Caenorhabditis elegans: one gene and its partners. The protein of the gene in region 2 interacts with the protein of the main gene of each other region in a pairwise test. Each region holds a gene or a part of one and is shown on either strand. Other genes may lie near its edges. The genes, in order: far-7, Y39B6A.34, rpl-23A.1 and C53D5.5.

Evidence for each region.
Region 1: the proteins of Y39B6A.34 (region 2) and far-7 interact in a two-hybrid assay, tested with the Caenorhabditis elegans proteins (one large-scale study listed by BioGRID).
Region 3: the proteins of Y39B6A.34 (region 2) and rpl-23A.1 interact in a two-hybrid assay, tested with the Caenorhabditis elegans proteins (one large-scale study listed by BioGRID).
Region 4: the proteins of Y39B6A.34 (region 2) and C53D5.5 interact in a two-hybrid assay, tested with the Caenorhabditis elegans proteins (one large-scale study listed by BioGRID).

What each region holds. Positions count from the first base shown.
Region 1 is NC_003280.10:315,444-322,823, reverse strand, and holds far-7 (Fatty Acid/Retinol binding protein), read right to left. Parts: upstream 3,036-7,380; 5' UTR 3,003-3,035; coding exon 2,969-3,002; intron 2,373-2,968; coding exon 2,302-2,372; intron 2,242-2,301; coding exon 2,083-2,241; exon of another isoform or gene 1,949-2,082; coding exon 1,796-1,948; 3' UTR 1,714-1,795; downstream 1-1,713. Other genes in the region: K01A2.10 (CCDC92/74 N-terminal domain-containing protein), read left to right, coding at 152-466, 962-1,276; K01A2.12 (MiRP K channel accessory Subunit), read left to right, coding at 4,159-4,208, 4,286-4,404, 4,456-4,567, 4,962-5,043, 5,087-5,176; K01A2.9 (MiRP K channel accessory Subunit), read left to right, coding at 5,917-5,966, 6,044-6,162, 6,214-6,325, 6,720-6,801, 6,845-6,934.
Region 2 is NC_003283.11:18,996,939-19,004,009, forward strand, and holds Y39B6A.34 (COA8 family protein Y39B6A.34, mitochondrial), read left to right. Parts: upstream 1-4,079; 5' UTR 4,080-4,081; coding exon 4,082-4,179; intron 4,180-4,401; coding exon 4,402-4,647; intron 4,648-4,765; coding exon 4,766-4,850; 3' UTR 4,851-4,918; downstream 4,919-7,071. Other genes in the region: gtf-2F2 (General transcription factor IIF subunit 2), read left to right, coding at 1,015-1,171; tgt-2 (Queuine tRNA-ribosyltransferase accessory subunit 2), read left to right, coding at 1,408-1,941, 2,704-2,892, 3,490-3,888; nol-53 (Ribosome biogenesis protein NOP53), read left to right, coding at 5,018-5,117, 5,356-5,942. UniProt on the Caenorhabditis elegans protein: May be required for cytochrome c complex (COX) assembly and function, COX being the terminal component of the mitochondrial respiratory chain.
Region 3 is NC_003284.9:4,712,133-4,718,935, reverse strand, and holds rpl-23A.1 (Large ribosomal subunit protein uL23A), read right to left. Parts: upstream 3,759-6,803; 5' UTR 3,753-3,758; coding exon 3,604-3,752; intron 3,536-3,603; coding exon 3,343-3,535; intron 3,286-3,342; coding exon 3,184-3,285; 3' UTR 3,136-3,183; downstream 1-3,135. Other genes in the region: F55D10.4 (G_PROTEIN_RECEP_F1_2 domain-containing protein), read left to right, coding at 465-616, 1,673-1,880, 1,925-2,044, 2,094-2,227, 2,275-2,347; Neuroligin-like protein glit-1, read right to left, coding at 4,080-5,729, 5,783-5,950, 6,005-6,235, 6,497-6,640. UniProt on the Caenorhabditis elegans protein: This protein binds to a specific region on the 26S rRNA.
Region 4 is NC_003279.8:302,907-314,115, forward strand, and holds C53D5.5 (Gamma-glutamyltranspeptidase 1), read right to left. Parts: upstream 7,885-11,209; 5' UTR 7,882-7,884; coding exon 7,856-7,881; intron 6,856-7,855; coding exon 6,636-6,855; intron 6,529-6,635; coding exon 6,299-6,528; intron 5,886-6,298; coding exon 5,665-5,885; intron 4,909-5,664; coding exon 4,185-4,908; intron 3,703-4,184; coding exon 3,384-3,702; intron 3,183-3,383; coding exon 2,994-3,182; 3' UTR 2,905-2,993; downstream 1-2,904. Other genes in the region: C53D5.1 (FAM69 protein-kinase domain-containing protein), read left to right, coding at 297-822, 882-1,003, 1,187-1,349, 2,022-2,174; imb-3 (Importin N-terminal domain-containing protein), read right to left, coding at 8,495-8,670, 8,728-8,878, 8,930-9,972, 10,020-10,936, 10,982-11,196.

The DNA of each region.
Region 1 (7,380 bases), on a different chromosome or scaffold from region 2:
ACTTCCGCGCAAAAAATTAGTGGGTAGGTCAAACTGTAATTTTTCAAAGTGTTTTGGGGTCAAATTCGTGTTTTGAAATATACAAATATTAAAAGTACAAAGTTGAGCCATATGTTAAAAAGTTAATTTTCAAAACAAAATTTAATTTCAGTTTGAAGAACTTGAAATCCGCATCGACAAAGCCTTGAAAGAACGCGATGCAGAATGGAGGAAACATGAAAAATCACAAATCCAATTTTTACAAAATGAAACTTCAAATATGCTGAAATCACTTCATAATGAAATTAATCGCCTCGGAAATGAGTTACGGGAAGAAAAACGAAAAACTTTGCACGGGGATGATGATTCAGCGGATAAAATTGCTGAACTGGAAAAAGTAATTACGGAAAAGGAAGCTTATACCAAGAATTTAGAAAAAAAAGTTTCAACGACTATTCAAAAACTTCAGGAACAAATTACTATTCAGGTAAGTTTTTTTTAGCCACGCTCTTTTTGTGGGCGGAGTCTAAAACACATATTTTTTACTATTTAAATTGACATTGAAGACAATATGTTTTTAATTTCTGAAATTTGGCAAAAATTTTAGATTTTTTTGGAATTTTTCTTTCTCAGACCAGCACTTTTTTTTAATATTCAAAATTTCCAGATTTCCGGAACAATTCTTTACACAAATTTCAATTTTAAATACCAAATTTTCAAAAAACTATAGAATTTTCAAATAAAAACTTTACAAGATTCGAAATTTGTAAAGTCACATTATTTTCCTTGTGGAAATATTAGTTTAAATTGTGGCTTTGAGCTTGTAAACTTATAAAAATAATGAACAAAACTTTCATAACCATGTAATATCAACTTCTTGGAAATTCATTTCTTTAATTGCCGAGAAATTTAAAAACTTTCAAAAATTCTGAAACTCCAAAACATTTTTGCAGCAATTTTTTTTAATCGAAACAATTTTCAGAGTGACCGAATCCGCCAGCTAAACGAAGAACTCTCTGACCGTAACCAAACCGTAACCCATCTTTCCCAACAACTCCGTGCCATCAAACTCCGCGAAGCAATGGCAACATCCCAGCATCGTCGTAGAGCCTCATCTCAACTCTCCACCACGTCATCACCACCGATGACGTCACCATCCTCACCTCATCGGATCTTTCCACCAGTGTCAAGTGGACTATTATCAGCTTCTGTTGCTGTAACGTATCCTGGAAATTCTAGAATTAGTATTCAGAAAAGATCAACTTCAGCGATGCGTGCACCGACTATGCCTAATTAAGCTTTCAGGAGGCAGGTGCGGAAGCTTAAATTCAATGGGTTTTTGAAACCGATGACTTTTTTATTGTACATATATACCTCAGTCAAATGAAGATATTCTGAATTTTTATTTGAAAATTATAAAAACTACGGTTTCAGGAAAGTTATCAAAATTCCATGTTATGAAAATAGGCAGGAGATGCGTTTTGGACAGAAAATCCTTCCCAAAACGTCGGCGGGGCCTAGTTGTTGCCAGAAATTTAGCCAAGTCAACCATCTCAGCCACAGCTCAAAAACATAGGTGGGGCTGCTCCGACCACGCCTATATCATGGGCATAATGTTTGTTAAGAAAATCAGGCCGCACCCCGAAATAGGGCTTCCATAAGGTCGCCGCAACGGTGGCCGCGCCGGCCTCACGGCATCACTCACGTCGCATGTATCCAAATGTATAGTGCGCATAAGAATATTATATTTTTTATTAATGTCTCATTATGCAGTTTTAATCAAAATACCTTACTGGAGGAAACATCAGAAAAAAAATCAAAATTTAATATCCGGATTATTCTTTCTCAGCGCAGCCTGATCTTCTGAAGATAGGCTTTGGAATTCCTGGTGAAGACGTTTTGCATCTGCATCATCAATTGGTTTTCCGACGGTTAAGGAGCACAAGGTGGTGGTTACCATGTGTATGAGCTGCAAGATTTTTAGTATTTATTACTAGTACTAAAAATGATTTCTAAAATGAGGTTTTTCTCAAATTTCAAAATTTCTGAATTGTAGAAACGTTTTATTCGCATTGTAGCAGCATTTTCCGCCAAACTCCTTACCTTCTTGGCATACTCAACAGCAGCCGGGCTCAAACCATCCAAACGTTTCTTGTTCCCCTCCAACACAGTTGCCAACCGTTTTCCCAATTCTGGATGCTTTTTCGAGACCTCGTCAATCATTTCACCACATTGTGAGAAACATGAATGCTTTTGGAATACCTATAATTATGTATTGCTTCAACTTTTATTACCAAAAAAGTGATGAATGTGGTAGTTCACCTCATGAAGAACTGGCTTCTCGTCAGCGGTAATTGATGAGGAGAACTCGAGTTGTTCAGTTGGGAAAAAGTCTGAAAATTATCAAAGAATTACTGAAATTATGGTTTTTTTGTAAATTAAATGAGTTGTTGAATATCAAATAGTAAAATCATTGCAATTTTCCTGTAAATATCAGTTAGAGTTTAACTTAATTATTTTTCAAAAAATTTATTTGGCAAATTTCCAAAATTTGAAAAATATGAGCTTTTGAGGAAATCTAAAGCATTGTCGCATGTTCAGACGCCTACAATGTTTCAATTCAAATAATTAAAACAAAACTAAAATATAAAAAATGTAGGAAAAATCTTTTTTTTTTTGGTCGTCTTCCAACATTACTAGTGGAAAAAACTGAGTAACTATCACTGATTGACAGTAAATAAAAAAAATTTTCAAAGAGTTTTTGAAAAGTTTTATGGTAATTTTTGGCAAAGATTTGCACCATAGGAGTAGTTTTCAACATTTTCCTTACTGGCGCTACTCCACGTTTAAAAAATTTTGAAGGAAAAAAATGTTACCAATTTTTAAACTGAGAATGCTATCAAGAAGTTGCCTACTAAAAAGTTGTCTAATCGTGCAAAATGAATTGCTCAGTTTACAATTTTAATGCCTTATAACCTATTTAACTTACTTTTGACACATTCTGGAAGTGAAGCAACGCTCATTTTTCAGTAGTCTTTCTGAAAATTTCTACGACTTTTTATTTACTCTTTCCAGTTATAAATATATATCAGAGAAAAGGTCAAAAAGATCATTTAGTGATAAGCGAGTCCTGTGATAGGACGGAAAACGTGAAAATGTGACAAAACGGCCACACCAAACATAAAAAGAACCGGTTACTGGGCACGTAAATCGAGCGAAAAACATTTTTTTATTCTTCTGTTGATTTTACTGAAATCGACTGTTCTTCAGTTCTTTTTATATAATCCTTCTTTCCAATAAATTGAACAAATATGGGCGGTACGTGCGGTGACCGAAATTTGACCGAAAAAAATGACAAACAAGGCAGATTTTGGAAATTGGTGATTCGATTTGGATTCTGCTATGGTTGAGTGAAGATTTGATGATGTATAAACACTTGAAAACCATCAAAAATTAACAATTTGAAGTATTTTTCGAGAAAAACCCCCGAGGGGACAGTGTCCCCGATGGGTTCGCAGACGCAGGACAGTCTATAAAAAAAATTTAGGCTTCCTAAAAAAATTGCTGAAACACGACACCCATATTGACTAGGTATGCAGGATATATGGAAAAAATATCAATTTGACCAATCAGCAGTGTTGGCCACGCCCAGTACGCGTTGGTGATTGGTCAATTCTTTTGGGGGCACAAATTGGCGCATCTGGGACAGTTGGGACAAAACTTTTGGTCAGAAAACTCAAATTATCGAGAGCATTAGCTAGGTTAACAAAAACTGATCGAAATTTTGAAAAAAATCCTCTGACCAATCAGCGACATTGGCCATGTCCATTACTCGTCGGTTATTGGTCACCTCGCCAGAATTGGTTTGTTTTAATTTTGGTAATTTTCGACTTATTTCCATAATTTTTGGTAACTTTTTTTGCAATTCTACAAATTAGAATTCTGGAAAAAATACCAACAACGTGGCTGGCACAAACCCGTTTTAAAAATTTAAAAAATTTTTGAAATTATAGCTCATAAAATTTCAATTTCAAAAACACACAATTTTCCTTATCAGTCGGTAATCAGCTGGTGAACACCTCCTGGAACGGGTGTTATTTATTTATTTACTCTTCCTTTGATAAAATGTCTGATAGTTGAACTCATTGTTTTCCCAAAAAATTCGAAATTTGAGAAAAAATGCTTGAAAATCCAGATTCTGTGGAAAAATTTCCAGTATTGGATCCTCTGTAAGTGATTTTGTAATTTCAGAAAAAAAAATTTAATAAACATTTTTTGAGAAAACGTTTTTCAGAATTTTTTTCAGAAAAAAGAATGTACTCCTGTCCCTGCACTCTCTTTCATCTTTAATCCACGTGGCAATGTTCTATTTCCTATTGGTCCAATGGAGTAAAGTCGATATTCCAGTTATCACGCATTTTCAGAGTAGGAATCCAAAAATTGAAGTTGTTAAGGTTTTTGAAACTTAATTTTCAGTTTTCTGTCTGGTGATTATTGGAATCGGATTATTGATTATCTTGATCTTATTTTTCATTATTTTTAACAACGAAATGAAAAGTGACTCACATGCAAGACGATTCTTTCATATGTAAGTTTATGTCTTAAAAATTGAGATTTTAAATTTAATGCTGCTCAAACCAGCTCAAATTCTAATTTTTCCAAAACATTCTTGCGGGGGTACAAAATTTTAATATCAATTTTGATATTTTCGGTACAAACTTTTTAAAATTAAGACAATTGTTTTGGCTGAATTTTTGGTTTTTAAATTTTAAAAGTGGAGTAACGCCGGTGGGGACAGTGTTAAAACTACTTCAATGGTGCCAAAATGACCGAATTTCAAAAAAAAAACCTTTCCAAAAAAACGTTTTGAAAATTTTAGAAGTGTTTTATTATGATATTCGGTTATTTTGGCTCATCATAAGTGCATTTAGACAAAATCCTCACTGGTGCTACCCCAAATAAAACTTTTCACCATTTTCCAGTTGGCCACTGGTACATATCGCCTTATCCACCGCCTATCAGCTCTTCACGCAAATTGTGATATCTCATTGGAAAACTTACCAGGTTTGTCAACCTATATAATTAAATTCGTCAGAAAATTTTTCAGATCCCAATCCTCTACTCATCCTGTGCAACTACCGTCTCTGTTGGCATTCATTTAGTTCTGCACTCCATGTCGGTTTTTTGGAAAGTATAATTTTTTATAAAATTTATTCAAATGTTATGTTGTTATGACATTGGCAATATTTGATTTCAATACTAAAAAATCTTTGAACATTATTATTTTTCTCATCAATTGAAATTATTTTATTAATGGTGACTTCCAAAAAAGTGCAAAAGTATGAAGAATCATATGAGTTGCAACTGATATAGAGGCCGCAATTGAGGACGCCAGATTTGGTACCTGAAACGTAGAATTGAAATTGGGAATTGAGTATTGAATCTCAAATTGGCGCATCTGGGACAGTTGGGACAAAACTTTTGGTCAGAAAACTCAAATTATCGAGAGCATTAGCTAGGTTAACAAAAACTGATCGAAATTTTGAAAAAAATCCTCTGACCAATCAGCGACATTGGCCATGTCCATTACTCGTCGGTTATTGGTCACCTCGCCAGAATTGGTTTGTTTTAATTTTGGTAATTTTCGACTTATTTCCATAATTTTTGGTAACTTTTTTTGCAATTCTACAAATTAGAATTCTGGAAAAAATACCAACAACGTGGCTGGCACAAACCCGTTTTAAAAATTTAAAAAATTTTTGAAATTATAGCTCATAAAATTTCAATTTCAAAAACACACAATTTTCCTTATCAGTCGGTAATCAGCTGGTGAACACCTCCTGGAACGGGTGTTATTTATTTATTTACTCTTCCTTTGATAAAATGTCTGATAGTTGAACTCATTGTTTTCCCAAAAAATTCGAAATTTGAGAAAAAATGCTTGAAAATCCAGATTCTGTGGAAAAATTTCCAGTATTGGATCCTCTGTAAGTGATTTTGTAATTTCAGAAAAAAAAATTTAATAAACATTTTTTGAGAAAACGTTTTTCAGAATTTTTTTCAGAAAAAAGAATGTACTCCTGTCCCTGCACTCTCTTTCATCTTTAATCCACGTGGCAATGTTCTATTTCCTATTGGTCCAATGGAGTAAAGTCGATATTCCAGTTATCACGCATTTTCAGAGTAGGAATCCAAAAATTGAAGTTGTTAAGGTTTTTGAAACTTAATTTTCAGTTTTCTGTCTGGTGATTATTGGAATCGGATTATTGATTATCTTGATCTTATTTTTCATTATTTTTAACAACGAAATGAAAAGTGACTCACATGCAAGACGATTCTTTCATATGTAAGTTTATGTCTTAAAAATTGAGATTTTAAATTTAATGCTGCTCAAACCAGCTCAAATTCTAATTTTTCCAAAACATTCTTGCGGGGGTACAAAATTTTAATATCAATTTTGATATTTTCGGTACAAACTTTTTAAAATTAAGACAATTGTTTTGGCTGAATTTTTGGTTTTTAAATTTTAAAAGTGGAGTAACGCCGGTGGGGACAGTGTTAAAACTACTTCAATGGTGCCAAAATGACCGAATTTCAAAAAAAAAACCTTTCCAAAAAAACGTTTTGAAAATTTTAGAAGTGTTTTATTATGATATTCGGTTATTTTGGCTCATCATAAGTGCATTTAGACAAAATCCTCACTGGTGCTACCCCAAATAAAACTTTTCACCATTTTCCAGTTGGCCACTGGTACATATCGCCTTATCCACCGCCTATCAGCTCTTCACGCAAATTGTGATATCTCATTGGAAAACTTACCAGGTTTGTCAACCTATATAATTAAATTCGTCAGAAAATTTTTCAGATCCCAATCCTCTACTCATCCTGTGCAACTACCGTCTCTGTTGGCATTCATTTAGTTCTGCACTCCATGTCGGTTTTTTGGAAAGTATAATTTTTTATAAAATTTATTCAAATGTTATGTTGTTATGACATTGGCAATATTTGATTTCAATACTAAAAAATCTTTGAACATTATTATTTTTCTCATCAATTGAAATTATTTTATTAATGGTGACTTCCAAAAAAGTGCAAAAGTATGAAGAATCATATGAGTTGCAACTGATATAGAGGCCGCAATTGAGGACGCCAGATTTGGTACCTGAAACGTAGAATTGAAATTGGGAATTGAGTATTGAATCTGCTAAATTCTGAGAAAGAACTTTCATACTTTTATTGACAATTGAGATGCCAAAAGTTGAACAACAAACTGATAGATTGTTGCACACGCGATGTTGAACAGGGGGAGTCTGAAAATACCTTTAAAACTTGATTGAGATTGATTTTAGCCGAAAGCTTTTTCTCTGGTTTAGGTTCAGGCCTAGGCTTACGCTTTGGCTT
Region 2 (7,071 bases):
TCGAATAGAAACCGATTTTTAAAGTAAATTTTGCCAGAAATCCACAAAAAAATGGCAAAAATCGGATAAAATCTGAATTCGAAGATTTTGGGCACTGCTAAAGCTACAAACTACAAGTTTTGGGCGCTGCCAATGAATTTTGATGCCGAGAATTTGAATTTCTGTTGAAAAAATGAGTAAAAATCTACATTTTTGAAGGTTCATGGTTTTTCACCAAAAAAAACTGCAGAAAACACCGATTTTTAAACAAAATCTCACCGAAAAATATTAAAAATTGGCGGAAATCGGTTAAAATCGGTTCAAGATCCGAATTTTTACATTTTGGGCGCTGCTTAGACTACAAACTACAAGTTTGGGCGCTGCTAATTCCATTTTGGGCGCTGCTTAGACTACAAACTACAAGTTTTGGGCGCTGCTGATCCGAATTTTTTGCAATTTTGGGCGATTTTTCAATTAAAAATGGAAGAAAATCTATATTTTCATTCAAAAAGTGTCAAAATTTTACGTTTTACTCATTTTTAAAGGGATTTTTACAGATTTTCCCAAGAAAAACTGAAAAAAATAGGCAAAAATTGACGAAATTCCACGTATTTTGCACCTTTCGTTGAGTTTTTTTAGGAAATTCTACACACAAAAAACTGTAAAAATTGGGTGTTATTTTGGTATCAATCGATTAAAAACTGCATTTCAACGTTTTGGGCGCTGCTTAGACTACAAACTACAAGTTTTTGGGCGCTGCTAACTACATGAAACCTCGTTTTTTTGCCAAAATTTCCAAAGTTTTTTCAAAAATCGCACATTTTCGCTAGAAATTTCCGATTTTCAAGCCGAAATATGCGAAAATAATGAAAAATCACACATTTCTAGTGTATTTTTTGGAATTTTTAACGAGAAACACACTAGTTTCCTCCAAAATTTCTAACTTCTTAGAATTCTGTGCATTTTCGATGAAATTTCGGATTTTTTGGCTGGCCGCTGCTTAGACTACAAAAACTACAATTTCTCGCATTTCAGACTTCAAGATCTTCAGCAACTCCTTCAACAACCGGTCAGCTACGTCAAAGAAGTGCTCCAAGAGATTGCCGTCTACAATACTGCTCCACCGCACAAGTCTCTGTGGTGCCTGAAACCGGAATACTGTAACTACAAAGTCAACGCACAATCGGAATAATTCCAACTTTTTTTTGGACATTATTATTATTATTTATTTACTATACATCTCTTCTTTTTTAAAAACATGATGAACACTTGTGAATATTGGGGATTTTTGAATTTTTTTTTTTTTGGATTTCTTCGTTGATTTTGGGTTATTTAGCCCAGTTTTCTATTTATTATCAGATTTTTTTTCGTTTTTTTTCGAGAAAAATAGGAAAAAAAAATTGATTTTTTACTTCTTTTTTTTTCAGAATGGTCAAATTTCAAATCGAAAAAAAGACGCTTCTGGGCCGCTTGGGCAAAATCGACACATGGGGCTCCGTGGAGGTTAACCACCAGACCCCATCCTTTCAAACCTACCTACGAGCCGGACATATTCCCCACCTGACATGGGAAGTTGCTGAGAATCAGCTGAAACTCGAACAAACCCACATTTTTCAAATGACGCTCCCAACGCTGGTGTCAAACGCGAAAATTATCGAGAAATTCGGAAAAGGCGCTGCGAAATTTTGTGGGATGCCTGCAGGCGCGGCGGTTCACCTGACACCGTTTGACCCGCTTGGAAAGCTTCCCGGAGGGTATAATGACTCGAAATCCGTCGCGATTTGGACGGCAAACGGAAAAGTTTCGTTGGATGTTAAAATGTGGCGGGAAATTATTAACTCGTTTGGTTGTGGCTCTATTGAGACTCTTGTCGACTATGATACACCGAAAGATGTTGGACAGAAGAAGCTTGTTAAGGCGGTGGATAGGACGAAAACCTTCCAAGAGCAGCTGTTTCAGCAGGTAGCGAAAAAATCAATTAAAAATTTGAATTTTTCAGGGGAAAAAATGAATGAAAAGCTACATTTTAGCATGAAAATGACTTTTTTTGTGAAAAACTGGTGAAAATTTGGTGAAAATCGGTTGAAACCTGGATTTTTTTCATTTTGGCGCTGCTAAGACTACAAACTACACAATTTTGGGCGCTGCTAATTCAATTTTGGGCGCTGCTTAGACTACAAACTACAATTTTTGGGCGCTGTTAATTCAATTTTGGGCGCTGCTAAGACTACAAACTACAATTTTTTGGGCGCTGCTAATTCAATTTTGGGCGCTGCTAAAGCTACAAACTACAATTTTTGGGCGCTGCTAATTCAATTTTGGGCGCTGCTAAAGCTACAAACTACAAGTTTTGGGCGCTGCTAATTCAATTTTGGGCGCTGCTAAGACTACAAACTACACAATTTTGGGCGCTGCTAATTCAATTTTGGGCGCTGCTTAGACTACAAACTACAATTTTTGGGCGCTGCTAATTCAATTTTGGGCGCTGCTAAAGCTACAAACTACAATTTTCTCGATTTTGAACTGAAAAATGACTTTTTTCCAGCTTTTTTGAAAGTTTTCACAACTTTTCTCCGAAAAAATTGCAAAATAATCGGTGTAAAAGCCTGAATTTTACCAGTTTGGGCGCTGCTTAGACTACAAAAACTACAACTTTTTTGTGTAAAAATCTAAATTTATTGCGATTTTCATAGTTTTTACACCAAATTTTCGCAAATTTTCTAGGACGAAAAAGTGAATGGAGAACGAATTGTGTCGCTGGGCGGTGGTTTCAGCAAGTATCATCGGAGGAAATGTGCAGTTGACGTTGGATTGGCTGAAAATATTGCTGGATACACTGTCGAATTTCGCGAATTCACAGAGGGAAAGGAAACTGACGATAAGGAGATGAAAGAGCTCCTGGAGGAGACTTTTGTTCGTTTTTTCACTGAAAATTTGGCTTTTCTGCGAAAAAAAAATAGATGAAAAGAGCATTTTTAACGATTTTTGAGGCAATTTCCGCTGAAAATTCATAAAAATTCCATTGAAAATCGTGAATTCCCTCGAAATTGCGAAAAAAATCGGCAATTTTGGTTAATTTTGAGCGAAAATGTGATTTTGGGCGCTGCTTAGACTACAAACTACAAGTTTTGGGCGCTGCTTAGACTACAAACTACAAGTTTTGGGCGCTGCTAACTACATAAAACTTCGTTTTCGACCAAAATTTCCTAATTTTTTCTAAAAATCACTTATTTCCGATAGAAATTTCCGATTTTCAAGCCGAAATATGCGAAAGTTCACCGAAAATCACACATTTCTGGGCAATTTTTCATTATTTTCCACCAGAAAATCACTAATTTCTTCAAATTTTTGAATTTTCCATAGAATTTCTGCTTGAAAATCCAAAAACCTGAATTTTTGGCGCTGCTAACCACACAAAAAGCACAATTTCCTCGGATTTTTAACTGAAAATCCCGGATTTCTAGCGGAAATGGTCGATTTTTCCCCAAAAAATCATGCATTTTTTTCCAGAGCCCACTTCCACCTACAAAACTCCGATGTATCTCAGGACCTTTCAACCCAAAAACCGTGCTTTTCCTCGTCCAACAAGGAATCGATCTGTTCGACTCGTCATTTCCAGTTAAATTGGCCGAAGAAGGCCACGCGTTCTGTCTTTCAGACGATTTTCCGACGTCTTCGAAATATGAAGTAGTGGATTTCAATAATGAGAAGTTCGCCGACGATTTTACCGCACTTTTCGACGGATGCGCCTGCTATACGTGCACAAAATACACTAAAGGATACCTACAACACCTTCTGAACACCCGAGAGCTTCTGGCTTCGATTTTATTAGTTATTCATAATATGACAGAGTATGATAAAATGTTTAAGCTTATTCGGAGCTCGTTGGAGAATTCTGAAGGATTGTGATTGGTTTTTTCAAATTTTTTTTGTTGATTTTATATACTCTATTCTTGTTATTTTTTCACTTGTTGGTTTCTTAATTTAATTAAACACCTTTTATTCAGCGTTTTATTGCAATTTTCCCGGTAAAAACTCCGGTTTTTTATATATTTCCTATAATTTTTTCCCTATTTCCCCAAAATTCAGCCTAATTTCCCAGATGTCATCGATTTCCTCCTCCTCATCAAATGTCCGAATGGATCGCCGATTCGATTGGGTTGGACCGCCGGATAATTTATCGAAAATTCGCAAAATTATGTGAGAAAATCCTGAAAAATACGCTGAAAATAAATAATTTTCGCAATTTTTAGCGCTGCCGCACGGAAAAGTGGGCGGAGTTTGGTGACGCAACACCTCCGCGCACTTTTCCATTTGTTAACGAAAACTAGATTTTAATCAATTTTCGTCGGTTTTCAGCGAAATTTTCCCATATTTTTTGCCAAAAATCTGTTTTAAAAATTATAATTATTGATTTTCCAGGCTCCGCCGCGTCGATAATGAGTCGGAACTCGAGCGGCAGTATCGGCTGGCTCGGGAAGAGCTGAATCAGTGGAATTCGGATTTTTGGGCCGAACACAATCAACTGTTCGACCGGCAAAAGTCGGATTTTGTCGAGCGAAAGCAGCAAGAGCTTGGAAGACTGGAACACGTGTCGGCGAACGAGCTCAGCGAGTTTTATCGCGATTTTTTGAATGATCGACACGTGGCGATGATGGCCTATAATAAGTGGGTGAAAATGCGGTGGAAATCGGATAAAATTGATTAAAATTGATGAAAATTCGCGAAAAATCGATTAAAATCCATGAAAATTGCTATTTTTCATGTAAAAAATCAATATTTTCAGAGAATGGTACCGCCGAAACCTGCAACTGATTTGGCCAGCACTCAAAGTCAACGTTGTCCGATTTTTCCGAATGGCGAGGCGTTAATTTGTAGATTTTTTGGGTAGTTTTAGTTGATTTCGTTGCTTTTTCCCCGATAAAAATGGGTTTTTTCTTGATTTTTTATCGTATTTCTTGAATTTTCAACGGGTTTTCCACCCTAATTTTACCTTTTTCAACCTTTTTTCCACTTTTTTGCCAATTTCCGCATTCAGATGGTCGCTGGAAAACGTACTGGAGCCGCGAAGGGCTCACGCCACAACAAGAAATATTGGAGAAAGGGAACGAATATCGATGATATTGAGGATTCGATTCGTAAGTTTATTTTCGAGCGATTGTCGCTGAAAAATCATCGAAATTTCCAGTATTTTGACGAAAAAACCAAAAATTTCCATTAAACATGGTAATTCTTTCAAAATTGCGACAAAAATCGGCGATTTTGGTTAATTTTGAGCGAAAATATGATTTTGGCGCTGCTAAGCTAATTTTAGGCAAAAATTCTCAATTTTTTCACGTTTTTAGGCTAAATTTCACTAATTTTTCCGATTTTCAGACATCAAATCCCGTCAGGCAGCAACTGGAGGTGTCATTTCTGAGATGAAAGACGAAGATCTGTTCATTGTCGATCGTACCGCCACCGCCAACAAGCCAGTCGTGCCGAAACTGACGAAAAAGCAGCAGGCCGCGTTGGAAAAAATCACCAAAAACATCACACAGGAGCATGTCACACTTCCAAAACCATCCACCACATCGAAAATTCTGAAAAAACCCGCCAAATTGCCACGTGGCAACGCGATTTTGGCGCTGAAAAAGGGGCCAAAAGCAGCGGCGCCGGCGGCGAAAAAGAAGAATTTCGACGTTTGGACGACTGATTTGACGCCGAAGATTCCGAAATCTAAGCTTGAGAATCAAGAAGCCGCAGAGCATTTTCTGAAAGTTGTGAAGAAAAAGCAGCCGAAAACGCCAGGAAAATCGATTACAAGTCTGCTTCCAGCAGTACAAATTGCCGAAGGAGGTGCTTCTTATAATCCAGAAAGTGCAGAATATCAGGAATATGTGGCGAAAATTGCCGGAGAAGAACAGAAATTGATTGATCACGAGGCGAAGATTAAAGCCGGAATTGAGCCACAGTGGGAGAAGGTGTGTGTAGGCGTTGAGAAGGAAGAAATTGGCTGGAAATTTGAGAAAAATTGGAGAAAATCCGAGAAAAATGGTCGAAAAATCGAAGAAAATGGCCTAAAAATTGTTGAAATTTAGATTTTGGCGCTGTTTAGACTACAAAAACTACAAAAAGCAGCTGCTACCAAAATTTTTTGGAGCGATTTAAATGGAAATTTAGCGAAAATAGAGAGAAATCCAACTGATTTGCTGAAAAAATTGGCGAAAATCGCAGAAAATAGATGAGAAACAGGAAAATTAGAGAAAAAATTGGCGAAAATTGGTGAAAAACCAGAGAAAATATGAAAAGTCGACGAATTTGGCTCAAAAATTGTTGAAATTCGAGTTTTATTGCTCTGAAAATTGCATTTTCATCTAGAAAATTTGGAAAATAGCGAAATTTTAACCAAAAAAATCGAGAGAAACTTGAATTTTTGCTCATCTAGAGCCTAAAAACATGAAAATTGTATTTTTTTTGGACGATTTTCAGCCAAAATCGGCAATTTTCAGGTGAAAAACAGGAGATTTTGGTCAAATTTTGTCCAAGTACCAACAAATTTTAGATTTTGGGCGCTGCTTAGACTACAAAGACTACAAAATCATGGTTTTTTACTCATTTTTCTTGATTTTGAACTAAAAATTGACTTTACTCCAGGTTTTTTTTGGTGAAAAATCAGTGAAAATCTAGATTTTCTCTTAAAAAATTCCCTAAAAGTGGCGTTTTTCACAACTTTTCCCGAAAAAATTGCACAAAAATAGGTGTAAAAGCCTGATTTTTAACATTTTGGCGTTGCTTTGACTACAAAAACGAAAAATTGAAGAAAAATGATGAACAATCGAAGAAAATGACCTAAAAGTCGTTAAAATTTAGATTTTGGCGCTGCTTAGACTACAAAAACTACAATTTTTGGCCGCTGCTAACTACAAAGACTACAAAATCATGGTTTTTTGCTCATTTTTCTTGATTTTGAACTAAAAATTGACTTTTCTCCAGCTTTTTTAGTGAAAAAATCGGTGAAAATCTTGATTTTAATCTTGATTTAAAAAGTGGCGTAAAAGTAACATTTTTCAAAGGTTTTCACAACTTTTCCCGTAAAAATTGCACAAAAAC
Region 3 (6,803 bases), on a different chromosome or scaffold from region 2:
GTTTTTTTCACTTTAAAATGAAACATATGCAATTTAAAACATATTACAGAAAAAATCTCAGAAAAAACTAGCTGTATATGAGCTTTTTGTTCTATAAAAATCCCGATCTAAAGTTGTTTCATTGCAACCTTTACTACTTTTGAGAACTTCAAAATAGCTTCAAATGTAGATTTTAACTTTTATTAAATCTAATTTTTTGTTGTTCTCCATTCAAAAAGTTTTGTTCTGGATGGCAAACAGTAGGGTATGACAGTTCAGGAATATGTACAGTTAGTTATAATTAAGCTCAAAAAATTTGGGAAACATTTTTCTTTCAATGTTTGATCTTGATGGAAATTTTAAATTAACAAGATACCTCCAAAATATAATTATGAATATTTATATATGGAACATTGCAGTCTTCTATCCAGCTAATCGAAAATTCATCTTCAAATTCCAAAATTTCAACGTTCTGTCATTTCCAGCTAGTCGACATGAAGTCTCGTTCGTTCGCTGAATTGGAAAAATTTCCGGCTTTGACGACTGCTATTTTGTTGAACTCGACTATTAGCTTGCTGACCTTGCTGACAATTGGATTTGTGCACGCGCTCGCGCGACACAACTATCATCTATCGAGGTTAGTTTATTGCTTTCGGGGAAGCTTAGGGTTTTTGCCCCTGAGAGCAAATCAGGTGCACTCCTCACTTTTCCTGAAAAATTTCCTTAAATTAAAATATGAAAAAGGGCAAATGCACCGAATGTCACATCACATACATGTTTCCCATGTATGCGTCACATAAAAGAGTCTCTCGAGATTTTCATTAGTGCCCGTCGTCGTCCACGCTAAAAAGTTTTCCAAAAAGAAACATGAAACTTTCCTTGTTTGTTACATAAAAGATTCCTTCCCTTCTCTTGTTGTTTAGTCAAGGGGTCAACTAATTACTATTCTTTAGCACAGTTATATAGTATTTTTTTTGTTACATTTTGAAAATTATATGCATTGATAAATACTACGCTCAAAAAATAAAATTTTCTTATCAAAAGTAGGGAAGGTGACTCAAAATAAATTGGGCATATGCAAATCTTTGTCACATTTCATTAATCAGATACACCAAAACTTGACCAAAAAAACTTGGTTTGGAATAACCAGAACAATAATTTTTTAATATGGCAGACTTCAGTGTCATTTTATTATTCAAATACTTTTTTGTGCAAATTTAAAAAATAACGCAAAGTAAGTAGACTTAAATTCACTATTTAGATGCTGGAAGTTTTTGGCAATTGGCATTTTCAGAAGTCGGCTATCGACATTCTTTCAATTAAAGTATAGTAACTTTTGAAATTACGACAAAATGCCGGTTACCGCAGAGCCTTGTTAACTGAAAAAAAAACAGTTCATTGAAAAAATAGACGAGCTCGCTTAAGTGTAACATTTTTCAACTAATAAATACTTAAATACCATTTTTATGAGAGAAATTGAAAGTATTCGAAAAACTCGAAAATAAGTATAAAACATAAATAAAGACATTGTTTCTCAGTCTTAGAAATATTTAATTTGTGATTATTTTTTAAAATAATTCCTCAAAACCAAGAAATGTTTCAAAATTTTGAAACTAAAATTAGTACTTTGAATTAACTGAATTTCACTGTTATTATACATTTCTAATTTATTATCCCATCGACACATTTCCAGGTCTCAATTATCTCGATTAATCGGCTCAACATGGCTTCTCGTAACGTTACTGCTTCTATCCGACTTTTTCCTAATCCGCCTCTCGAGATCTTTTGTGTTAGCAGTGCCTTTTCATCTTGCTCTTCTATCCGTATTCCTTGTGCTCAATTTGATTATTCATCCGCTCAATCTCATCCAGCTAATCATATCACAACGTCTTAATCCAGAGGTAAGGGATCGAAAAATTGCATTTGAGTATTGAAATTTTTGTAGGAAAATAGTCAAACAGTACGGTTAAAGAAGGACTGCGCAACAGCGTCACTATGGTTGCTGTTGAATAGTTTATCATTTATTATAATTTTTATGATGGTTGCCTGGGAGTCCAAGGAAAAGGTAAATAATCATGTTATTGTTAGATTACAAAATTGGAACACAACTTCAGGACCAGTATAACTCAATTATGGGGATTGAAGTTGCGGCATTCTCTGTTCATTGTGTCGCAAATCCATTGATAGCTGTGATCCGAGATAGACAGTTAGAACGAAGTCTTTCCAGAATAATAATGCGAAATAAAAGGTAAAAATACCTGTGAATATTTCAGATGTTTATTATTTATTTTTCAGACCACGAACAAATCACGAAGAAGATCTAATTATTGCACTGATGCGTGATCCCCCACCGCCATACACCGAGTAACTGTCCTGAGAACAGTAATTTAATTTCATCTTCCGGTTAGAATTGTGAAAACTTGTAGTAATATTGCAGAAAATTGTTTTCATGCAAACTCCTTTCATCCATTATCTTTTTCAATCACTTCTGGTTAATAACTTTTGATCTCAAACACGTTTTTGCCAGATATCATGTTTTTTTTCGAAATTTTTCGCATTACTCTTGATCTCTCAATATTTATTTTAATGTATGAATGAATAACCAGTTGCAGTGTTTTTTTGTAATAAATTGTATTTTTCATTTAATTTCATAGTATTTGTCATTAAAAAAAATTGCTTACAATGTTCAAAAAAATAAAAAAAATGAACAATTTATCGTTGTAAGAGTTTTGCACTCATGTTCTTTAGGATATTCTTTGAAATATGGCAACAGCTCAAAATTGTACAAGAACAACAACAAATCTAGAGTTGTGAAATGAAAAATCTGAAGTTATCATGGCACAATATTGCTTATTAGTTAGTGCAACATTTTCAAAACGGTCTCATCGCGTGAAACACTCAAAAAAAAGAGTACGAAGTAGAATGGGTGAGAAAAAAAAAACGAAATTTGGTACTTGTGTATTACATGCCCTCATTTTAAAAGTAGTTTTTTAAGTCAATAATTTTTTAGAATCAAAAAACATATTGTTGTATTTTTAGGCTCAACAAACAACCATTTCTAGCGCTTTAATTTTAAATCAGGGTGATTTTCATGAAATGTATGATAACTACTGCTCTTACAATTAGTATTTCTTTCCCTACCAAATCAGCAAACATTTTTAATAACAAATTGTTTATTGAACAAACAAGGAACAAGAAAACAATTTAGATAACTCCAATCTTGTTGGCAACGTCGAGAGCATCGTAGTCAGCGGTGAGGCGGACGTAAGCCTTCTTCTGTTGAAGTGGAGTGATGAGGGTGTTGACCTAAAAACAAGCATTTTGATTTCTTTTTGCCTGGAAATTAAGATGCTTCCAACAAACCTTGAGGGCTTGGACGTTGTAGAGCTTGTGGACGGCGTCCTTGATTTGGTACTTGTTGGCGTCGTTGCTGACGATGAAGACAAGGGTGTTGTGCTCCTCGATCTTCTTCATGGCGGACTCAGTGGTCAATGGGTGTTGGATGATGCGGAAGTGGTCCATCTTGGAGGTCTTTGGGGCAGACTTGCGTGGGAAACTGAAAATCGATAATTAAAATCATTCAACTTTTTAAATAGTTCTTTTAATTGGACTGAAATAACTTACCGAGCCTGACGGGCGGTCTTGAGGGTGACCGGGCGACGGAAGTGCACGGAGGTGCGGACTTGACGTCTGTGGGTGGTGCGTTTTCCCTTGACGACCTTCTTCTTGGCGTCGAGAGCCTTGGCAGTCTTAGCTGGAGCGCTTGGAGCCATTTTACCCTGAACAATTGATTAGAGTGAAAATGACTGGAAAATTGAGTTAAAAAAGATAAACAGCGGCTCAAAAAACCAGTTAAATGAACAATTAAAAAAATCATTAGACAATACATGTTTTCTTTTTGAAAATGCAATAACAATTATGATAATAATAAGGCATCAGTAAGATAAGGCTCCGAAAAAATAGAGATCACAATTGGATGGTTTAAAACTCGTACTAAACATAAAAAGTAAGTGAAATGAGATTCTGATCACAGAAGTTAGTAATTATTATGTTAGTACTCTAAAAAATTTAAATTATACATTATTTACAAACTTTGAAAGTTAAAGATTGGTTATTCTAGATCTTGGTGATCGAGTCCGTGAAGAAATAGTAGCATCCGACACTGAGTGACCAGTGTCCCGGTATTCGACGAGTTGGTGGTTTTCTGCTTTATAAGCCGCCTCCTCGTCCTCCTTGTTTCCCCAAACCATATATCCAAACGCGCCAGCAAGTACTATCAGTAGAGCGATGATGATGACGTTGACTCCAGTGATCCATTTGAAAACCATGATTTCTCGTCGGTACGCAACATTTTCAGGGGAAAACGTCGTTGTCATGTAGTTCACCAATGCAGGGATGTACTCATTCCAGAATGCAACATCTTGATAGCGATAGTCTCTTGCAAGAGTTCCAGGAATCTTCCAGTCTTCTTCATGTGTGTAGTTAAAGTTAATGTACCAATGACGCCTTGGTTCGTATGCTGCCCAGCTGCCATCAAATTGAAAATTTGGGTTCTGATGATAACTGAATCGACGTATGATGTTGGAAAACGTCCTGCTCGCGTTTCTATCTGTATCCGTAAAATTTATGCCTCGCAGACCAATCGGTCTCAGCTCGTCCGGTAAAAACGGATAGCCAAACATCAGATACAAGTCACAATCCCGACAAACTCCCATCCAGTCAGGAATAAATAGCAGGTTTGGATGCTGGCGACTGAAGTTGTAATTATTTACATATTGAAAAACTCGTGATCCCGAAGAACTGTGGAGATGCGAGGAGAGTTGCATCGGAGCAGTGTAGTAAGCATCGGTAGCAAATTGGATAAAGTTTTCCTTGATTGCCCAAGCAGCTGCTCTATCAGGCCAGAAAGTGTATTTGGAGAGGATCGCGTCGGCGGTAGCTTCCCGATTCATTGAGTAGTTATGACGGTAGCAATATTCCAGCGAGTAACTTTTCAAATACTCGTGGTCGACATCGTTGAACTGACTAAACTCTCCGAGTCTTCTGTCTTCCAGCACGACTTCACTGCCATCTTGAGCATTCATTCCAATAAGCATTGGTACTGGACTCATGATTGAAGTCTCCCCACTCGGCGCGTTGACGAGAGTCCATAGCGGGTTTCCAGGGAGATATTTTCCATCCACCGTTGGCATGAACAAGTATCTGTTGTACTCGATAGGAATGTTCCTTGTTGCATCAATGATGTCTCCGGTTGATCTTGTCAGAATACAATCCCAACGATGTTGTGCAACAGCTTGTGTACATCCTGCGTAGCGTCCCAGCTTCATTGTGTTGTTGAAAGCCAGTGCAGTTTTTCCAATGTAAGAGTGATATGAAACTTCCGCTCCGGACATTGTGGCCGCCGATCTGAAGAGGTGCCTGGAATACGGTGACTGCATGTGAAATCCGATCGAAGCTGCTCCTGCATCGTGCCCGACAACTGTGACAGCTTGTGGATCTCCGCCAAACGTTACAATGTTGTTTTTCACAAACTCCAAGGCTAGTCTCTGATCCTGTAGTCCATAGTTGCCGGTTTCAGAATCTCCCATACTCATGAAGCCGAAAGCACCAAGACGATAGTTGACAGTTACTACAACCATTCCTCGAGAAGCAAGTCCATGCGCTGGCCACTCATTTGCAGACCCAGTTTGGAAATTCCCGCCGTGGAAGAACACAATTACCGGATAAGTGGTTTGTGCATTTTTGGAAATCTGGAAAATTAAATAATTATTTTTCATAAGAAAAATTCAATAAAACTTCTTACGTCAGGAGAGAAAATGTTCAAGTAAAGACAATCTTCATCGACCATGAATGGATAAGGATGATCTACAAATGGACTGGGCGACTTTTCAACATCTTGAGCACATGAAGCCGCGTAATTGAATGCCAAATACGGTTGTTTCCCTGGAAAGACGGTAAGCTGCTGTGGTGGCTGTAAAAATGTAAAATGAGTTATTCAATTTATGATATGTCGGAATAAGTGTACCTTAAATCTTCTCTGAGACGTCGGTGGTTCTGCATAGGGCACTCCTAGAAATGTGAAGACTGTGATATTGTTTTTGGGCTTCAGTGGATTCGGATCAAAGTGTGTTCCGTCCTTGGGAAGCTCTTCGGTTGGATCTTTGTGAATTGTCCAGGGCAGGTTGTGGAGATGAACCTCTTTGCCAACAATGTCTCCCAGAGGCAGTCGAACAACCACTTCATCTCGGTTTAACCCCTGCAATGTACACAAATGTTAGGTGAGGTGACGACGCAAATCGATATGCATTTAGGCAAATAGAGCGAAACATCTTTTGCAGAGTTCAGAGAAAGAATAATAAATTGGCTCAATTTTTTAGCGAAAATAATCAATTCAGTTTCTTTAAAATAATCTTACATCATTATTTTATAACATTCTATTTTCTATCATTTTGATAATAACTACTAGAAAAGTTTAAATTTCTAGGTAAACATAGTTTAAAAAATTCAAAATACTTACTTGGTTTACTCCGCCATGGGGAAATGGTGTTGTCGTTGTTTTAAACGGATCCCATAGATCTACTGGACGCGTTGGTGGTGGAACAAATTGTGAAATGACCAGCGGTAATGTGAATAAGCTATTGAAAATTGTGCCGGTGAACATTCCATGTGACGCGATCTCTGAAAAATTTAATTTTAAAAAAGAAAAATAAAATATCTCTTCGAAAAATTTCATTGAAAATTGAAAATTGATAAAAGCCACGCAAAAAAAAGCGAAAAATTTTTAGGCAACGAGTGATCATCAGGTTGATGACCTACGGTAACAC
Region 4 (11,209 bases), on a different chromosome or scaffold from region 2:
TCTACTATATTAACTGTGTTTTTGGTAAAGAAGTATCACTTTTTCCCCTCCCAACTCCGATAATTCGGCATTCCTAGAGTTTTAACACAATGTTTTACGACATACTTATGAAGAGTTGATGCAAATCGCAAAAAAAAAACAGAAAAATAACTATTTTATGAATAGTATCATTATCGTATGGTGTCGTCAAAATGTTTTGTTGTTTTAGTTTTTTTTTACTCGAAATTTTCTGAAAACACCGAATTTCATATTGAATCAAATTTCTTGATAATTTATTAGACATTTCGATTTTACAGAGCCAATCAAGTACTCACCGGATTATGTGATGCCTATGAGCGAGGAGACGTTTCCGGAGACTCTTGTAATCGACTTTGCTATGATCGAAACTGGCTTGTCACTGACTTTTACGAAGGGCACAAGACTGTGGTCATAGTGAAAGATGGCGGACAGATTGCTGTCTATAAAAGCACAAAACCGTTTATGGATCAATTCGACGAGCCGAAAGACCATCTGACGGATGCAGAGTTCTCGGATCGAGTAGTCGATATGGTGAATGATGAGCTGAGACTCGGATGGCCGAAACACTATCGACGGCATTTAATGGAGACTGTGTGGCCGACACTGTTACGGACCAAGGGAGAAGCCATGTCGAAAGCGGATCGACGATCCTTGTGGGCTTTGTTAAAGCAGCCTGAATTCATCCTGTTCCGAGTGTTACCGTTGACACGTGTCACGCCGAAGCTCATTGGGACGTGTGGACATATGTATCAGACTGAGTCACTGGTGGCGTTCAAGATGAAAGGGTATTATACGAATTTGAAGGTGGGGATTTTTTTTTAACTTGATTTTAAAAAAAAAATTTTCTCAATCCAAATTTACAGGCAAAAATCTTGGTGCATGTCATGGGAACCCTGAAGCTCTTATACGAATTTCTCGACGAACCCCTTCAATGGTGTGATGTTCGATTTGATAATCTCGGGTTATCAGCAGATTATCCGAAAAGGTAGGTCTGCCTGTTTTTTTATTTGATTTTTTTTTCCGAAAAAATCTACATTTTCAATTATTCGAAACGTAATTCGAATAAAAGTTATTAATGATTTTTTAAACAAAAAAATTGATGATAATCCAACCGGAAACTCAAATTTTGAAAACCCCTAAAAATCCAAATTTCTCAATTTTTCTGCAGATTCGCTCTAATGGACGGTGACATGGTGTACACGAAATCGAAATTGGATTCTCTCCTAAAAGGACGTCCGTGTGAAAGTGATAATGATTGTAAAATTGGAGACTGTGAGGCGAGATGCACTTCTAATATGGTGTGCTCGTCGAGGAGTAACGGGAATTTGGAGGTAAGCTTGAAAGTTGAAAAAGTTTGGAAAAATTGTGAAAAATCAATAAAATCGGCAAAAAACGAGCTTTTTTCCAGATGGCCGAATTTTTCATAGTTTGCAAAAGTTCGTCCACCTGTGAAAAATTGCTAAAAAAGCAACAGCATTGATGAATATTCATAAAAAACCAATAAATTCGACAAAAACCTTTTTGATTTTTCCAAAAATCGAAAATCACATTCTGATGTTCAAATTGAATTTTCAAAAAAAATATAGAAATTTCCTAAAAGTTTTAATTCTCAAAAAACGAACGACTGACAAAAAATTTTTAAAAAAGTGAATTTTCCGAATTTTTTCTAAAGAAAAACTGAAAATTTGAGAATTTTCAGTCAGAAATGTGATTTTTTTTTTGATTGAAAGGAGTTTATTTTGTAGAATTTAACTTCCACTATCAGAAAAAAATTTACCTATTTACTTTGTAATAGGAAAAAAGTTGTGAAATTGTTAGGAAAATTTTTTTCAACTTTACAATTTCCCGGACAGGCCTGTAGTTCCTTTTTTTCAAAACGTAAAAGAAAAAATTAATTAAAAAGTTCAAACTCCTAGAATTTATACATTTATTTTGCATTCTAAAAAACAAAGTTTTTCTTGATTTTTTTGTGTAAAAATTGAAAAAAAATCCAAATTTTGTAGGTCTTCTGCGATAAACTGGTCAACAAACTGTTCGCAAATCAATGGTCCAAAAATAATAAATATTTGGTCGCATGCCGGGATACAGGACGAAATATCACAACTCGACTCAACGAATTACGGTTAACATGGTCATGGAATCTGCCGGATGTTTAAAGGAATCTAGCTCAATTCTTTCTTTTTTTTTCTTCTACTCCATGTGTCAAAAAATCCCCGTGTCTTATAATTTTCTGGTGCTTTTTTCCATATTTTCCTTTTTTTGTGTTCTGGCTCATTTTTCCATGGCTCACAGAGCCCGAAAGCTTAGGATTTTGAAATTTTATTCGTTTTTTTCTCATAATTCTGTCATCATTTTTTGCTCTGCATCATCATCATCATCGTCAACATCATCGCGTTTTATTATGGGTTCATGTATTATTACACTTTCCTCGAAAAAAAATTTTGACGAACGTGTAATATGTTTCACCTTGTCTCATTTGTACCTCGTTCATTGTTACGGGTTTGAAGTTTTAAAACTCTGAATTTATATGAAGAATTTTAATTTAAAAAAAAACTTTGTTTCCTTTTTTGAATTTTTACAGACAAATTTTTGGCTTGAAAACTGAAAAACCCTGACTAAACTTACTATTTATGTGTTGGGTATCAACGTGTATTGACCCACGACGTGGCTAAGAAGATCGTACAACGTGAACTCTATGAACTAACTTATTTATTCCTTAGTTTAGTAATGTAATAAACTACTCGTCTTCTCCTCCTCGTCTCGCCTTCGAATACACAACATTATGAAAAGAGTTTTTCTTAAGATAAAAAATGTTCTAAAAAATCGATGGCCGAGTTTCCTATTTACGCGGCCACAAGACCAGTAAAAAAGTGTTAACACAAGTGCGAAAACTAGAACATTTATTTTCAAATTTCACCCGATTTCTACAAAAAATCAACAAAAAAGTCACAAAATTTAAAATATGAACATAATAATCAATATCCCGCTGGCGCTGACTCCTCCCCTTTTCGGAAATCACTGTTCGCATAGATTTGGCCGTCGGAAAGTCGTTCGGCGGCGGTGACAACTGTCAAATTGTTCACTGCCTTCATTACGTGACCACGATCGATCAGGGATTTCACGTAGGCTTTCGGGAAGTTTGGCTCGTACCACGTGTAATTTGGCTAAAAAATAAGGAAATTGGGAAAGGTTTTGATTTTATTGATTGAAAAATATTTCATGTGAAAGTCGAAAATTGATTGAAAATTAAATTCAGAAGTTTTTTTTCTGAAAATTATTGATTTTTATTTTTAAAAAATCAACTTTTTGACAATTATCGATTTTTCCAACAAAAAAAAAATCAAATTTCGCGTGTAATTCTCTACCTGTAACTGATTGTGCATCCTTGGAGCATCAACAGCTTGTTTAACATCTGCTTTCAGCCATAACGCATGCAGTGCAACTCCAGCAACACCCGAAATAATGGTGGATCCACCGGCTCCGCCGACCGCCATAAGCTCCGCCCCTTTTGTGTTAAAGATCACTAATGGACTTTGACTACTCATGGGGCGTTTTCCAGGGCGAATGAAATTGGCGGGAGACGGTGGGAAACCGAAGAAATTCGGATGACCGGGAGTGGAAAAGTCGTCCATTTCGTTATTCCAGAGAATTCCCGTCGATTCGGAGGATACTAGGGCACCCAGGCTGGAAGAATTTGAGATGGTGGAAGAGTTTTTTTGGCGGTGGCCTAGAAAATGTCTTCATATCCGAAAAAGTCAAAGTGATGGCCTAGAAATTTAAGTTTGTGGCCTATAAACTTGAACTGATGGCCTAAAAATTGAACGTCGTCCTAAAAATGTTTTTAACTGATGGCCTAGAATTGAAAGGTGATGGCCTCCAAATTTCAGGTGGGCGTATATAAACTTTGGTTGATGGTCTAGAAATTATACACGTGGCCCAGATTATGAAATCACTTCGGTATAAAATCCAGGTGGTAAACAATTTACTATTAAGACTGCCTAAAATCATCCCCTGGCCTAATTAGTTTAAAATTTTTGGTGACGACCTCGAACTTGTTCATTTTTATCAACTGCAGTTGCTTGTCGACTGAGGACTAACTTCTCACTTGCTGGCCGAGTTTTCGAAGTTCGGCCACCAAAAATTTCCTTTAAAAAAGCCAAACTCACTATAAGTTAATGGTAGACGTAACCGAAACTGCATTGCCGTCTGCATCGATAATCGATACATGAGTTGTTCCATGATCCTGCGGTGGTGCTTCAAACGATCCTCCATAGTAATCATCAGGATGCGTCGTGTCTGTGATCTTCGACCTAACCCAATCCGCCCACTCTTTTGACGTAATATTTTTGGCGATTTCCGTGGCGTTTGCCACGAATTGCGGGTCGCCAAGCCAGCTTCTAGCCGCATAACTAAATTTGCTAGATTCCAGAAAATGATGGTATAACGTTGCGATTTCGTTGAACGACTTCATGTTATATTCGAAGCCATCCATCACGTTAAGTATTGCCTGAGCCACCGCTGAGCCCGAGGGAGGCGGCGGGCCGCAGACTCCGCGCCCGTTTTTCAGCTTTGTGTAGATCACATTTTTTGAGTCGTGGACTATTGATTTGTAATTTTTAAAGTCCTGAAGCCGGATGATCCCACCGTTGGCTTCGAACTCTTTGGCGAGTTGCTCGGCGAGCCGACCTGTATAAAAGTCGGCGATGGGATCTGTGGAGTTTGCGAGTAGCCGGAATGTTTCTAGAAGGTTTTGGCGGGTTTTTATCTGCTCTCCTGGTTGGAAGACACGCTGAGTTTCGGGGTTGATGAAGTTTTTCATGGTGGGCTCCGCGCGGATTTGGTGCTCGTTTTGGTTGAGAGCTTTTGCAAGGGCATGGGACGTTGGGTAGCCTGGAATTTTTTAGGATGGCCTAGAAACATGAACCGATAACATAGTTACTTATTTTGTGACCTCGAAATTTTCATGATGGCTTAGAAATTTTTATGATGGCCTAGAATTTTTATGGTGACCTAGAAATTTTTTGATGGTCTAGAAATTTTTAGTAATGTAATAAACTACTCGTCTTCTCCTCCTGAAAAAATTTGGGCCCGTCTCCCTTCGTGGTGAGACCCATCGTGGCGAGACCCATCGTGGCGAGACCCATCGTGACGAGACCCATCGTGACGAGGCCTATCGTGGTGAGACCCATCGTGGCGAGACCCTCCGTTGAGAGACCCATCGTGATGAGACCCATCGTGGTGAGACACGCCGTGGTGAGACTTATTGTGATACCCATCTTAACGTACACAGTAATTGGAGAAACTTTTAAACTGATTTTTACAAAAAGTTCAACATTTAACTTACCAAGAGCTCAATATTCCGTTGCCTCGCTTTTTGTTGCCCTCAGGGATTATTGTTCTGTTGCCTCCATTTCCGTTACCCCTGTTGTGTTGCCTTCGAGCAGCGTTGAATCCGTTGCCCCCCCCCTTTTTCGTTGTCCCCGGGGAATATTAAATCCGTTGCCCCCGTTATCCGTTACCCCTAGGGATTGTTGGCCGGTCTAAAAACGGCCACCAGAAAAGTTTTTGAGCATCAAAAATGTTCTACGCCGTTAGGAGTTTTTTAGGCCAACAGAAATATTCTAGGCTCGCAGAAAAAGTGCCCACCTTCAGCCAACAAATCAATAGTTGGTTTCAACAACTGTCTCCACTCGACTTTTCCACTTCCGAATCTCTCGAATTCAGTCCGGAGGCCGTGAAGCTCTCCGGGCACCGCAATCGCCTTCCATCCGATTCTCGACTGATTCCATTTGTCACGGTACATTTCCTCTGTTGCGGCGAGCGGAGCAATCTCCCGAGCATCGATTACCGTACACTCTTTTGTCGTTCTGGAAGAATTTTAGAGGTTTCTAAGTCATTGAAAATATTTTTAGGCCACGGCAGAAGTTTAAAGGCCACACGCGCTTCTGGCTTTCCTCATATTTTGAAATGGAAGAGTTTGCCGAGTTAGCCCGTTTGGACTAGGCCACGACCGGGGTAAATTTACGGAGCGTCGTGTAGACGATTGTCAATGGAGCGCGAGAAAAACGCTTTGACGAAGGCCAGAAACCAGTGAGGCCACAATGTGATGTTTGCAAAAATGTTTTTAATGGCCTAGGAAAATCATTCTTTCTTCCAAAATTTTTCTTCTTTGTTTTCCTTTTCGATTATTGATTTTTAGTTGAAAAATCAATATTAATAATTATCTTTTTTTTTAATTATTGATGTTCCGCTCCAATTCGTGGCGAGACCAACAACTCACGCATTATAAATAGTCATAAAATGTCCGCCGCCAATTCCGGCCGAATGTGTATCCATTACACCGATACAGAAAAGTGCGGCGATTGCCGAATCCACCGCATTTCCGCCTTTCAGCAAAATATTCCGACCGATTTCTGAGCAAATTTCGTTGTCGGCGGCGACGGCGGCTTTCGAATATTTTCCGAGTGGAGAAAGTGATGGTCCAGGCCAACGGGGTAGGCGGGCATTGTTCTGGAAACCTTGCCGAGTTTTATTTTTATCGGCCACGTAGCAAATCGGCCAGCCATGAACCGACTGCGGACTAGTTTTCACCCTCGTGGCCTAGCTTTCTAACAAACCTGCATTAGTAAATGAAAATACAATGAAGCGAATGCGACCGTTGAGATTAACAACGTGAATACGAGAACCGTTAAGCCGACCGCCGCGACTAAAGTACGGATTTTCATGGGTTGCTCGGCCTCGATAAGCGGCTCAACTTCATCAAATGGTCCATATTCTGGCGGTAAATTATCATCGTCCGGAAACGTGTTATAGTATTGAACAGGAGGTGGGTTACTGCTGAAAAGTCGAGTTTTGCGCGTCAAATTTGATGTATTGAGTGGCATGATCACTATTATTACAAGACCGCGAAATTTTGAGAATGCGTATTGCACAACATTTTTGACGCGCAGAATATCTCGTAGCGAAAACTACAGTAACTCTTTAAATCACTACGGTAAAGCTTGTGTCGATTTACGGGGTTTCGGTTTTTTCATTTTTTTTGTGTTTTTTAAAAAACAATTTATCGACTAATGAATGATTTCCGTAAATCGACACAAACACTACAGTAGTCATTTAAAGAATTATTGTAGTTTTTGCTACGAGATATTTTGCGCGTCGAATATGTTGCGCAATACGCATTCTCAGAATTTTGTGTTGCCGTAATAATTCTGATTTAAAAATGGAATTTTCAAAAATCAGAGGTTTCCCAAAAATTTGAATATTCCACAAAAAAGATGAATCTGAAGAGTATTTTCAATTTTTTGAGAAAATAATCGATTTTCTGGATTAAAAAATTTGAATTTATAGATTTCTAGATTCTAAAATTTGAATTTGTGCAATTTCAAACAAAAATGTATCGATTTTTATCGACTTTTCATAAAATTTAATTTAATTTTCGAAATTCCGAAAATATTGCCCGTTTTTCATATACCAAAAAAGTTGTATCAATTTTTTCAAAAAATTAAATTTTCATCGATAGTTGTTTTCAAAGCATCATGATTTTTTTGAAAGAATTTGCAAATGTGAGAACTACAGTACTCCCTTAAAGGCGCACGCTTGTTTTTATTTTTAAAAAATTGGTCGTTTCGAGACCTGGTACCGTATTTTCGCATTTGGGTAATATTTCCAGCATTATAAATTTAAAAACAATGCACTTTTTAAATCTTGAATCCATATATATATTTTTTTCAGAAACTCATGCCGCCTCGTTTGGGTCTCGATTCGAATTTTTTTCACAAACGTATAATATTTTCTCGAAAAACCCGCGAATTTTTAACATTATCGATTTTTCTCTCACCTCGTCGATTGCCCTTCAGGAGTCATTATTCAGAATTGAGTATGAATTAAAAAATCATAGAAAAAGTCAAAGCGCTGTCAATTGGAAATTTAGGACGAGAATGTCAAAATTGCAACTTTTCACGATAACGGAATTCTATCGCAAAACTAGATAAGAGCTACAGTTTGCTGCGTGTAAGCGCGCTCCAATGACAAACGAGAAGAGAAGAGAAGAGGGGGTAACCGCCAATAGCTCTCTTTATCGAGGATAGTCTTCAAGTGACAGAAGAGATATTCTGTGGTGGGAGAGAGTTGGGTGGAAGGGGGAACAATGAGGACTACGGAAGAATGACTTTTAGATTTGGAGTATAGGAGAAAGTGGAGGTTTTGGCTGAAATTATTTTCAAAAACTTTAACTGTAACAACTAACGAGTAGATTTGAAAATGAGGATAATATTCAACACAACAGAAAAAAAGTCGATAGGTAACTAATAAAAATTAGAGAAAATGTGGCATCGGGGAGAAGTGGTGGAACAAAAGAAGAAACTGATGATGATGATAGGAGGATAGCCGCGAAACAAGCGATTAACAGTGAACAAGATTCATTTCGGTGAAGATGGAGAAGATAACAGCAAAAAAAAAAACACAACAAAAGTCCTTATTATTGCCCATTGAGAGTTTGTTGAAGGACACTGGTAAGGTGCTCGTCGATTCCATCTTGCTGCGCGAATTGTGGGAACGATGCGTAGATTTGCTTCAGGATTGTGACAATTCTTTGCTTGGTTTGGTTGCCGCTATCGTCGTCGTTGAAAGCATCGTTGGCGATTGAGAGCAAGCCTGAAAAATACAAATAAAAATAAAATAAGTTACGGATTTTTTTAGATTAGAACTTACAAACAAGGAAGATTCTCGGAAGATTCTGATTTTCTGGTCCAAAAAGTGCGGCGTCTTGTTTATCAAACAATTCGGCGAGACACGTGTAAATGTAGGGGCTTTCCTCGGTGTCTGAATATGTTGGCAACCAGCTCAGGAACATCTCGACGACCTGGAAATAATATGGAACTTTTTTCTTGAAAAACTGAATTCTAAAACCAACCTTTCCGTAGGCTTCAGCAGGAAGTGGCACATTGCCGATGATTTTGGCAAATGCAGAAATCGCGTTTTCCGTGGCAACAGTGCTCTCCTCGGTGGCTCGGGCGTCCTCTCGTTGAATCATGGCGGCCAGTGGCTCCAAACAGCTCAAAATCTCGTTTCGGTAGTCGCTGATCTGGTGGTAGTTGATGGCCATAACTCCGAAACCGTAGCTCGCTGCTTGTCTCACTTCAGGATACTCATCTCCCAACAACTTGTACATTATTGGAATAAGCTTCGGGAAGCGAGTTGGCATATGTCCGACACCGAACTCGATGGCGTCATCGAGAAGGCACATTCCCCATTGTCTCTCGAAGTATTGTTTGGATCCCTCGATGAGTTGAATGGCACAGTTGAACACGTTGATCATTCCCTCGAAGATAGTTCCCTTGAACTCCTTCATAAGAGAGTGAGTCAAATCAGAGATGGCTCCAAGGCATGAGGCCTCCAATTCCATGAAATAATCGAGCTCCTCCTTAGCTTCAGCATCATCGTCATCTTCATCTTCAACTGGACGATCGCTCATTCTCTTTCCGTAGTTTTCAAGTTGCTTGAGAAGCACCGAAATGATGAGTTGAACCTCTTCCTCGGCGATTCCCTCGGTTTTCATAACCTCAATGCACGATCCGATGGTCGTCATGAACGAGGCGAGAATCTCGACATCGTCCTCCTCCTCCATAGAGGTCGTCAATGCCTTCAAGAACTCGCACCACAAACGACGCTTGTCAGCCAATCCTTGCTTCTCAACACAGGTCAACAAGCATGGCATGATTTCAGCGGAAGCCGTACGAACTCCGTCGTGAAGTCCGAAATCGAGATTCTTGATGGCGAGCTCGTAGACGTCGACGACGTATGGCATGAAAGCCTCCTTCATCTCCTTGGCGAACGCGACAAGCATATCGCAAGCAGTTGCCTTCTCCTCAAGACCGCTGGTGCGGATTCCGACAGTCTTTTCTCCTCCGATTCCGTGGTATTCAACTCCTTCCTCGTTTTCGTGAACATCTTCGTCTGAAATTTATATATTTTTTTAACACGTAAAACTAAAAAACACTCACTGTTGAAGATATTGAAGTCTGGGCGGTAACGAGCGGCACGAAGAACTGGATCCATGACAACTGGGAGGAATGGTGCGAAATCGGCTCCAAGAATAGAGCAGAAACGAGTCCATGAGCTGATCATGTAGCTGTATTGTGGATCATCGATAGCCAAATCCTTCATTCCGTCTCCGAGAAGGTTCAGGATCTCGATTGCAGTAGCGTGGAATTGTTCCTTTCCGACAGCATATCCGATGAGAGAGATGCATTCGATGGTCTTTCCTCTCAACTCCTTGAGCTCTCCGACGTTTTGAAGAATGTGAACGAGGTTCGGGATGAGGCGAGCATGATGTTCCTTGAAGAGCTCCTCGGCGGCTTCAGCGACGGAGGCGATGGCGGTGACGATGTTCTCAACGACAACCTGGTATCTCTTGTCTCCGAGACGATTGAACACAGCGGAAAGCACATTTTCGAGTTTCTGAAGAATGAATGGAAGATATTGTCCAATGATGCTCTTTGGGCACTCCTCGGCAAAGTTGACAAGAGCCGAAGCGGCATGAGCACAGACACGTGGAACATCGGTTCTGTCAAGAGACTCGAGAAGAGCTGGTATGACGGCGGCGTGGCACTTCTTCTGAAGAGTTGGAGCGAAGTCAGAAGACATTTGTCCGATGGCGTTGCAAGCCGCGTATTGAACTCTTGGATGAGCATCATTGACGTAATTGGTGATATGAGCCATAATTTGCTCTATGTGTGGTTCCATAGATCTTTGGCACCCTTCACCGACGGCGGAGAACGCGCGAAGAGCCGCGTGCTTCATCTTCCAGTCTTCGCTGGTCAAAAGCTTCTCGACAAGTGGAAGGAACACTGGGAGCATCACTTTTCCGTTGATGCAGCAAGCAACACGGTCGATGGCGCTTTCGGCGATGATTGGGATACTGAAAAATAATTTAATTGAAGAAAAACTAAAAATTTATCCTTACTCTTCATAGTCTTCTTCCTCTTCGATCTCGTTGAGCCACTCATTGAGCACATCGTCATCCATTTCGGTCATGCATGAAAGAAGAGTCTCGAGAATTGGTCCAAGAGCTCCTGGTGCGTATTTCTTGAGTCCTTTTGGTGCGGATTCCATGTACGAGCAAATAACTTCGATGGCGTTCTGACGGACCATCTCGTTCTTTTCCTTGTTTCCAGCAATCTGAAATTTGAAA